Linked DNA regions of Macaca fascicularis. The protein of the gene in region 2 interacts with the protein of the main gene of each other region in a pairwise test. Links are inferred from orthologs where the notes say so. Each region holds a gene or a part of one and is shown on either strand. Other genes may lie near its edges.

The links.
Region 1: the proteins of GABARAPL2 (region 2) and RETREG1 interact in binary tests that used the Homo sapiens proteins (3 or more experiments, as listed by UniProt). The link is inferred for Macaca fascicularis from reciprocal best matches to the Homo sapiens genes GABARAPL2 and RETREG1.

What each region holds. Positions count from the first base shown.
Region 1 is NC_088380.1:17,282,381-17,287,032, forward strand, and holds the start of RETREG1 (reticulophagy regulator 1), read right to left. Parts: upstream 2,898-4,652; 5' UTR 2,872-2,897; coding exon 2,552-2,871; intron 1-2,551. UniProt on the Homo sapiens protein: Endoplasmic reticulum (ER)-anchored autophagy regulator which mediates ER delivery into lysosomes through sequestration into autophagosomes.
Region 2 is NC_088394.1:71,416,131-71,420,728, reverse strand, and holds the start of GABARAPL2 (gamma-aminobutyric acid receptor-associated protein-like 2), read right to left. Parts: upstream 3,249-4,598; 5' UTR 3,140-3,248; coding exon 3,106-3,139; intron 2,776-3,105; coding exon 2,720-2,775; intron 1,586-2,719; coding exon 1,413-1,585; intron 1-1,412. UniProt on the Homo sapiens protein: Ubiquitin-like modifier involved in intra-Golgi traffic. Modulates intra-Golgi transport through coupling between NSF activity and SNAREs activation. It first stimulates the ATPase activity of NSF which in turn stimulates the association with GOSR1.

The sequences.
Region 1 (4,652 bases), on a different chromosome or scaffold from region 2:
GATTTTTTTTTTTTCTCATAGAAAATACAGTGCTTTAGAGTTCCCAAGACACGGAAGGTTAGAGTACCATATAATTTAAGATCAGTTGAGAAGACATACATTATTTAAAAAAAAGTAATGTCCTTGAAAATCATTTTAACCCCCAGAGCAACAAATAAAAGGGAAAAAAAACAAAACTTTAATGACATTAATAAATGGGTCATAAATTCCAATGAATTATAATGCAAAAGCAACAAGTAATTCTGAATTTAAAGAACAGGACAGTCATCATTGTCAAAGAAAATACATGCATGGAATGCAGATGCCACAAACAGGAGATGAAATAAAACAGATAAGGAGAAGGCTGTATCTAGGTGGAATGGCTGGCCAATGTTTTCCTCTCCATCAGTCATAAATAAAATGGTTGGAAGAAAACACCCCTGAATACTACCAAATATGCCTTTCAATTATTTTATGCAAAAACATTATTTTCAATAGGTGTCATTAAAGAAAACATCATAGAAAAAAAAAGTTGGCAACTCATGTTACAGAAATAGGCTAAAGTCTTTAATATAAAAACAGCTCCTATAAATCAGTAAGGAAAAGAACGATGGCCTACTTGAAAAAAATAGACAGGTTATTTATAAACAAAAATGCTGATAAAAGGTAACTGTAGTGGTTATTAAACATAAGATAAAATGCTCAGAGAATTGCAAAATAAAAACATTTTGGGATAGTCTTTTTCACCTATCAGATTTATAGGATCAAAAAGTTTCATAAAATATTCTTGGCAAGGGTGTAGCAAAGTAGGCAGTCACACACATTGCTGGTGGGAGTATCAATTGTTAGAATCCTAAGGAACTGCATGCAATATGGTGATAGCCATCAAAATTACAAGTGCACATGCCATCTGACCCAGCAATTCCACTTCTGGGAAGTTCTCTAAAATACTTGCATACATGCAAAATTATGCATGTACAGGGTCATTAGCTATAACGCTGAAATAGCAAAAGCTTGGAAACATTACTGCCTCAGTAGGAGACAGGTTAAGTAATTTGAGACATCCTTACAATAGAATTCTGAAGCAGCTGAAAAAGAACAAGGAAGCAATCACCAAGAAATACTAGGAAAAGGGAGAGCTCATATGGTATTCCACAATTTGCATAGAATATGGTGTATTTGCTGAAATGTGCACTATCTGGAAAGAGACACAGGAAACTAGTAACATTGGTTGCCTCCGTGAGGTAATTGGGCGGCCAGGGACTGGGATGAGAAAGAGATTTTCAAAATGCTTACCCTTTTGTACCTTTAAAACTTTTGAACTATGAGACTGTATTCGATTTTTAAAGAAATAAAATTTAAAATTAAGAAATAAAATGTTAAAAACATTGAAAACATTAGTGAGACACAGCCCTAAGACTATTAGACTATTGCCCAATCTAGCATAAGACAATATGTCCTTCTTATTTGAGTGCTCGCATAACTCCATAATAAGATAGATTTGGAATAAACTCTAGAAACACAGGTAGCTAAGAGACCCAAAGTTAATCCACTTTCAGGGACCTCCGACAAGACAGAGCTCGTTTTAAGAGAAAACACCAGGACAAGTAGAGATCTGCAGGAAATATTCACCTTGCTCAAGTTAACCTAGAAAATGACAGGCTATTTTGTGCAATTTATTTCTCAACTTTAAGGTTCAGAAATCTCTGTCCTGTAACAAGGTATCTGTCACCGGAGCTCTGATTATTCTGCACCGTGTGGGTCATGTTTGTTATAAGAACACTTAGAAAACAAAGAAAGCTTTTCTCCGCCCTCAATAGCGTGGTAACGGATGACAGGACGCCACTTTCAACGAAGGAGACAGACACTTCCCTGGCCTTCCTGGTGAAGAGCGCCTTTTGGAGAGACAAACCTGTTGCTCAAGAGCTGAGCATTCCCGTGTATTCTCCCTGTACTTCACCTAAAAATATACCTGTTTTCCACACTGGGCACACCCGGGGGTGGGTGCTGGGCATACTCCACCTGCTTGTTTGCCTCCCGTTTTCTCATCAGGGAATAAAGACAGTAAACCTAACCCTTCAGGGGAAGGAAAAACAAATCATTCGGGGTCCATCTCAGGTGACTGATGAATGTGGCACCGTTTTGAACGTGTACCTAATCTGGTCCAGATATGCCTGCTGGGGCCGCAAGAACGAAGACACGTTCAAGCATGTTTGCTCCCGCAAGCTTGGGCGAGCAGGTCAAGACCTGAGAGTTTTAGAAAGCAGGGGCGAAGTTTTCAAGTACGATGGGAACACCTGTAGGTGCAGGTGCCTGCGGGTCGGCCGACCACCTCGCATCTGAGGCTGGATCCCCACACGGAGGACGACAACTGCTCATAGGGACGTGCGTCCGGAGGAAAGTTGCGGTGAGTGTCTACCTGTTCGAGACCGGTGGCCGAGAAAGTGGGGCAGTGCTGACAATTCTTCCTCCGCAGTGTCCCGCGGGCTCCCCCTGCACTGGGTCCCCGGGGCCCCGGGCGCCCCAAGGTCACCTGCCCTCCTGAGCGCCCCCACCTTGCCCAAGCTCTCACCAGAACAGCAGGTTGGCAGCGACGAAGCCGAGCAGGCTCCGCAGCGGCCTCTTCCAGCTCAGCAGCTCGTCGGCGCGGCAGCCCAGCCACAGCACCGGCTCCCCAAGTAGCCAGGTTACCGCGGCAGCCGCCCGGCCCGCGGCCTCCTCCACCTGCAGCCCCTCGCCCTCCGCCGCCCCAGCCTCCTGCGCTTCCTCCTCCTGCTGCTGCCGCTCTCCGGGGGGTGCCTGGGGCGGCGGCGGCGACGGCGGCGCCTGCTCTTCGGCTGCGGGAGCTGGGCATCCCTCCGCGGCGTGCTCCGGAGGCGCCGGGCTCGCCATCTTCAGCTGGGCTTCCAGGCGGGGACGGGGCCGGGCGCGCGCGCGGGCGCGCCTGGGTGTGGGCGCCGAGGGCGGGGCGGCGGCGGCAGGTCCCGGAGCGGGGCGCGCACCGCGGGGCGCAGGCGGCTGGGGGCCTTGTGACGTCACGGGCCGCAGAGGGGGCGCCGCCCGGGGAAGTGGGTGCGGGCGAGTTCGCGCAGGGGCGGGGCCGGGGGCCGGGCGCCGGGGCTGGGCGGCGTCCCCGGGGGGCTCCGGGCTCCTCGAGGGCCTCTCCGGGGACACAAGGAAAACGACCTTCTTTTCTCTTGCAGCGGCGGGGGAGGGCGAAGTGGAGGACCGCTGCTCGGTTCCGTATCCAAAAGGGACCCAAGGCTACAGGCAAAATAGATTGGACATTTTCACTTTCTCAAGCCAGGGCCACCGGTCGCCCAACCAGCAGCCACTGAGGGTGGTATCGGGGCGCCCCTTCCCCTGGCAGCGTATTTCAGCCCCCAGAAACATCCCCCACCTCGGCCATCCCCAGTGCCTTTGCAGGGACAGCAGCACAACCATAGCAGAGGTCTTGGGCACCCTGGGAATAATGTGCTGGTGTAAATGTTGGATTGAGAAATGAAAAAGCATTTGGGATCAATCTGGGGCCCTCTCGTTTGACACGGGAGGAAACACCAGGCCGCAGCGTTGGGGGAAGCTGCTTCCTTTCTCTCTCTTCTTTCTCTTTCTCTCTCAGGTGCTTCCTTTCTCTCTTCTCTCTCTCTCTCCCTCCTTGTGGCTAGGTGATCTGGCTCAGACGCTCTCTCTCTTTCTCAGGTGCTTCCTTTCTCTTCTCTGTGTGTGTGTGTGTGTGTCTCTCTCTCCACTTCTCCCCCTTTCTCCCCCTCCTTGTGGCTAGGTGATGTGGCTCAGACTCTCTCTCTCTATCTCTTTCTCTCTCTCTCAGGTGCTTCCTTTCTCTCTCTCTTCTCTCTCTCTCTCTGTCTCTCTTCCTCCTTGTGGCTAGGTGATCTGGCTCAGAAGTGCACGTTGGTCCGCGCCTGCGGGGAGCTGAAAAGCAAAAGAATGGACCTGTGCACGTGTCAAGCAAGGTTTGGCCTGCTTTGAAGACAGTGATTTCAGAGCCACTCCGGCCTCTACGTCACAAGCAAGCATCACGGCAGTGGTGGGGCGGCAGGTGATCCTGAGACCTCCTATGCCATCTCTTTGGCCCCGGTGCTTCTGGGTGAGTGTGGGGAAAGAGGAAAAGAGTTCATGGTTTATGCTTTTCACCATTTGCATTTTTAAATTTTTGTTTTCTTTAATCTTCCTGGCCTTACTTTTACTCTAGAATGACAGGTCCTTCCCACTCATCCTAAGGGTTCTATCTGCGGATGAATCAGGGCATCTCATATCCCTTTACTGGCAACCAGCCTGCCTGCACAGGATGGAAGGGAGGGCAATTAAATTCTCTGCGTCAAGAGAGCCTCTGGGGGAATGTTCTGTAACGCTCCTCTGGGTGGTCATTGTAAACCTCTGTGTATACACATGCGGAATCCATTGATCTGTACATTCACTGCAGGTGTCTGTACTTTACTGTGTGTTGTACTTCAAAGGGGGTATATTCCCAGAGTCCATGCAAAGGCTTACTGAGCGCCTACCGAGTACACAAAGCATTGCTAAGCTCTGTGGATGCAGCTTCTGCCCACAGGAAGCTCCCAGTCTGATGAGGGCCTAATTACAATTGTGATATCTGCCACATCAAAGACGCAATCGCTAAGTGCTAAGAGATCCCTTAAACTGTGCATCCA
Region 2 (4,598 bases):
TTACTTTCTCCCACTGAGCCACCACCTCCGGGAAGTAGGAAACACAGGGTCACCAAGACTCTGCAGAAGTTGCAGATGTTATGAAAGAAGATTACCTCCCCAAACACCTTAAGGAAAGCCCAGGGTAACCACGGATGCCCAAGGCTTCCTCCCCAGGTGAAGACACAGCCCAGAGGCCTGGGAAGGAAGGTTGGAAGAGCCCTATGGGTGACAAGATCACCTCAAGCAACACCACAGCTTCCAGAGCTACAGCTGTGGCAGACCAGTGGTGTCCAGTGGGCAGGCCCTGGGCTGTCTCCTCAGGTTGAACGCTGGCCTTAGGGAGGGAGCTTCCATTTCTCCCCTGCCTTTCTATCAGACACCAGGAAGTGGAGGTGGAGGACACTGGGAAAGAGGAAATCAGACCAAAAAATAGCCAGAGCTTTCCACCTTTAACAGAAGTAAGTAACTGGAATTTGGCAGAGGCCTCTTCTGGAGACTTCAAGGATTTTCAACAGGAACCTATGTGGGCAACATTGGGCTAGTTTCCAGGGCTTCTGAAAGCCTTCACTTTTAGAAGTATTACTTCTGGGGGTGGTATATGAAACCTACATTGGGTCACTAAGATAAGATGTGGCCAGGAACTCACACTCAGGGGAGAGGTGGGGGCCAGAATCTGGATCAGGGCCTAAAACTACCCACTCAGTAATGGGAAAGGACTGACTAGGATGTCAGACGGAGCCCCTCCATTTTCCTCTTTCCACAGGGGACTAAAGCTGGGCTATCAAATACACAGAAAAGGGGAATTCTAATGCCTCTGCCTACATTCAGGCCACAAGTTACAGTCCCAAAGACTGCTTCCAGGCAGCACAATAGTCTGACAGTCAAAGCAGGTGCTACCAAGGGAGGTATGAGTCTATAAAAAGACTTCAGAGCCCTTTACTGTGCAGCAGTCATTTTGTCAGACTTGAGGATCAGGCAGCTATAGACACTTACAATGTCAAAGAGTTGACCAAGTTTGGAAGCAAGCAAACTGGATGATTAACTGAGTGAGCCTCAGCAGGGCCCACAGGCTCCCAGTGGAGGAGCGTGCCAGGACTGCCTTCGGGAAAGAAAACCTCATTTCAGGCCTCAGTTCTACCTATAGCTTAAGCCTAAATAAGTTCTCAACTGTTTTAAAAGATTCTTGGAGATGTTAGGCTGAGTTTCATCATTTTTTTTAAAGTCCAGGCCTTGTTCTATTTTCTGAATCCAAAATGCACTCTTATGTATTGCAGCCATTATTTTCCTGGAGCCCCTGATGTCAGGGAGCACAAAATACAGATTTCTAGTCAGGACCCCTAAGAGTTTTCAGACTTCCAAAGGTTTGGAGTTTCGTAAGCAGCCAACCAGATGTCTAATACCAGAGGGCCCATCTAGTAAACACCTCTCACCTGGACTGTGGGACTGTCTTATCCACAAACAGGAAGATCGCCTTTTCAGAAGGAAGCTGGATCCTTTTCCTGATGATCCACATGAACTGAGCCACAGTGATATCAGATGGAACCAAGTACTTCCGTTTGTCAATGTCAACAATCTGAGAGCCTGAGACCTTTTCCACAATCACCTGGGAAAGTAAAGAGAGGTCAGGACTGCGTTTCCTAAAGGGAGGCTCTGGCCTCACATGGCTGAGGAGCTGACGAACAGAGTGTGGGCAAGGAGGTGGGTGGGAAACTGCATAGCAGGAGAAAATATGTCTTTGGCTTAATAAACCACATGCTCTGGAGGTTAAGAATTGATATAAATGTGTTATAGGGAAACGGTAAGTGCTTTTCTGTGGTCAATTATGTAAGAGAAATGCAGCCCTTACTACTAAGCTTTTCCACATTTTATCTGGGCAGACCTAAGAGTATCTGGGGAGGATTTCATCCATGGTCCGTTACTCTAGGACCCCAGAATGGATCCACCTTCACACTACAAGAAACACTACTGTGTTCCCAAGGAACACAGGAGACAAGAACGGATGGACTAATGGGAATGCCTGGAATTTCAGCCAGTCAAGAACCAAGCTCTTCATTTGGCCTGTTGCTCCTCTCTGAACAAGTTTCAAATCCGTCCCTCCTACTCCTTTCCTGAGACGAATTATTCACAAGCAAAGAGCTACAATAACAGGCCTTAATGTCCATTAAAAATTAATAAGGATTACAAAACTGTCTCCCCAACCATGAAAGAAATATAACATCATATTTATTATTGACTAAGAAGAAAACATGGCAGAAGGGTTTTCAGCGCTTTTCACATTATTTTGGTCAGGCAAGGATGACAGGGTCAAGGTGAGGTAACGGAGCTAGAAGTTAGGTAAAGATGGAGGCTCAAAGTAAAAGATGAACGTCCTGAGACTCAAGTACCACTTCCAAGACCAAAGTGACAGTCTCGCTCCACCACCATTCCCAAAAGTGGCAGTGACCTGTTGCCCTGTCCTAGAACATCGTTCCTTACATAATTGGCCAGGGAGCCCCGAGGCTGCAGACGGCTCGCTGGCCTAGATCGGGAGATTCAGCACTGAGGCACCCTGAACAGCACCAGCCCGAGCCCCTCACGCCCCGGCCCTGGAACGCCTCATCCCGGTCTGGCCTGTCAGTTACTATTAACTGGGACTGGAATCTCAACTTGTCAACTGTTGAATGGCCTGGGGCCTATTACGGGTCCCAGACGACAGAGGTGACAGCGAGGTGAGGGGGCGGAGAGTCCAAACACTCACCGGAACCCTGTCGGGATATTTCGCTCGAATCTTCGCGGACTCCACGCATCTGTGTTCTGTGGGAGAAACAAACAGGGCTGACGGCTGCGCCTGCCCCCCGGTCGGTTTCCGGCCCCCGGCCCTCCTCCTCCTGCGCCCTGCGCACAGCCCAGGCCCTGGTTCCGGCGTCCCTGCGGCCGCGGTCCTGTCCCCTACTGCTCCCAGCAGGGCCCGCGGAGGGTGACACGGGGTCAGGAGGCGGCTGCCCCAGGCACCAGGGCCTGGGCGACTCGAGACCGGAGCAGGGCATCCGCCCCACTCCACCCGAACCAGGGCCGCCACAGTGGGGGAGGGGGCCCACCCGCCGCCCCGGCCACCAGCAGCCCGGCCGACGGCCAAGTGCTTACCCAGCGAGTGGTCCTCCTTGAACATCCACTTCATGGCGGCGGCGGGAAAGGGACGGAACCGGCTCTCGGAGCCGCGGAGCTCAGCGCACCGACCACAACAACAACGACGGCAGCAGCGGTAGCGACGGCGGCGACTACACGGCAGGCGGGACTTCCGGCTGTCGGAGCCTAGCAACCGGTCGGGGGCGGGGCTTCCGGCGCTATTTGCCAGGACGCCGCGCCAAGGGGCCGGGCCGCAAGTAAAGGGGCGGGGCAGCGGATGGCCCCCTCGGAGGATCCTGGGCTACGGAGGTGATGAAGTTGGTTACGGGGACGTCTGTGAGCAGTATCTGCGACCCCAGGAAGGAATGTTCGGGGAACTGGTGACAGGAGTGGGGTCTCGGGAGCGTTGGTGGCGGGAAACGTCTGGCTGATAGTGTAGGGCTCTTACTGAGGGCTGTTTGGGGGTGTGGCTGATAGTTGAGAGCGCTTAGAGCGGTTCATAGGGAAAGTCTGAATGGGGAATTGGTGACAAGAACGGTCTTTAGGGGTAAGAATGACATGAGGGGTTTCTAGTGCTTGGCGATAACAAAGGAGCTGTTTAGGGCGTTGAAAGTTGGGGAGTATTGCTCGGAGGGGTGACAGATTGGGGGCTCAGTATGGTAGGGGTGGTGTTTGAGGACACTGTAGGAGGTGGCACTGAGGACAACCCGGAGGTACAGTATTAGGGACAGCTGTAATAGGTTGCCTTGGACCTAGAAATTGAATTTAAACAAATCCCATTTTCTTGCTTTATTCGTGAATAAATATTTGAATAAACATTTACGAAAAGGTATCACAAATGCACATTTGAGGCGGGGCGCGGTAGCTCACGCCTGTAATCCCAACACTTTGGGAGGCCGACGCGGGTGGATCACCTGAGGTCAGGAATTGGAGACCAACCTGGCCAACGTAGTGAAACCCCAAAAATTAGCCAGGCATGGTGGCGGGCGCCTGTAGTCCCAGCTCCTCGGGAGGCTGAGGCAGGAGAATCATTTGAACCACAGAGGTGGAGGTTGCAGTGAGCCAAGATCACACCACTGCACTCCAGCCTGGGCAACAGAGCAAGACTCTGCCTCAAAAAAAAAAAAAAAATGCACATTTGAGGAGTGTAACATCACTGATCACAGACCCCTTAATCTTAGCTGGCAGAGGAGTTAGAGGTGACTGTCAGATTCGGAGAATTCCCCTGAGAGCTGGTCATGAGATGGTTTTCCTCGTTTGGCTGTGGAAGTGGTTTAGCAATCACAGCCTGAGCTATGTGTGTGTCACCTGCCCGGACATATGCTTTGAGATTCTCCAGTCAGTGACGTAATGCCTTTTTTCCAAGCAGAGTCATCAAGGCAGTCTGGTGTGGGTCACCATCTGTTTATAAGCTGCTGAACATGTAGCAAGAATGTTCACTTAATTGGACACATGAACTCTGCCACGTGCTTGTGATTCTGATGCACCTGTAAAGCCTGTATGTTTGAACA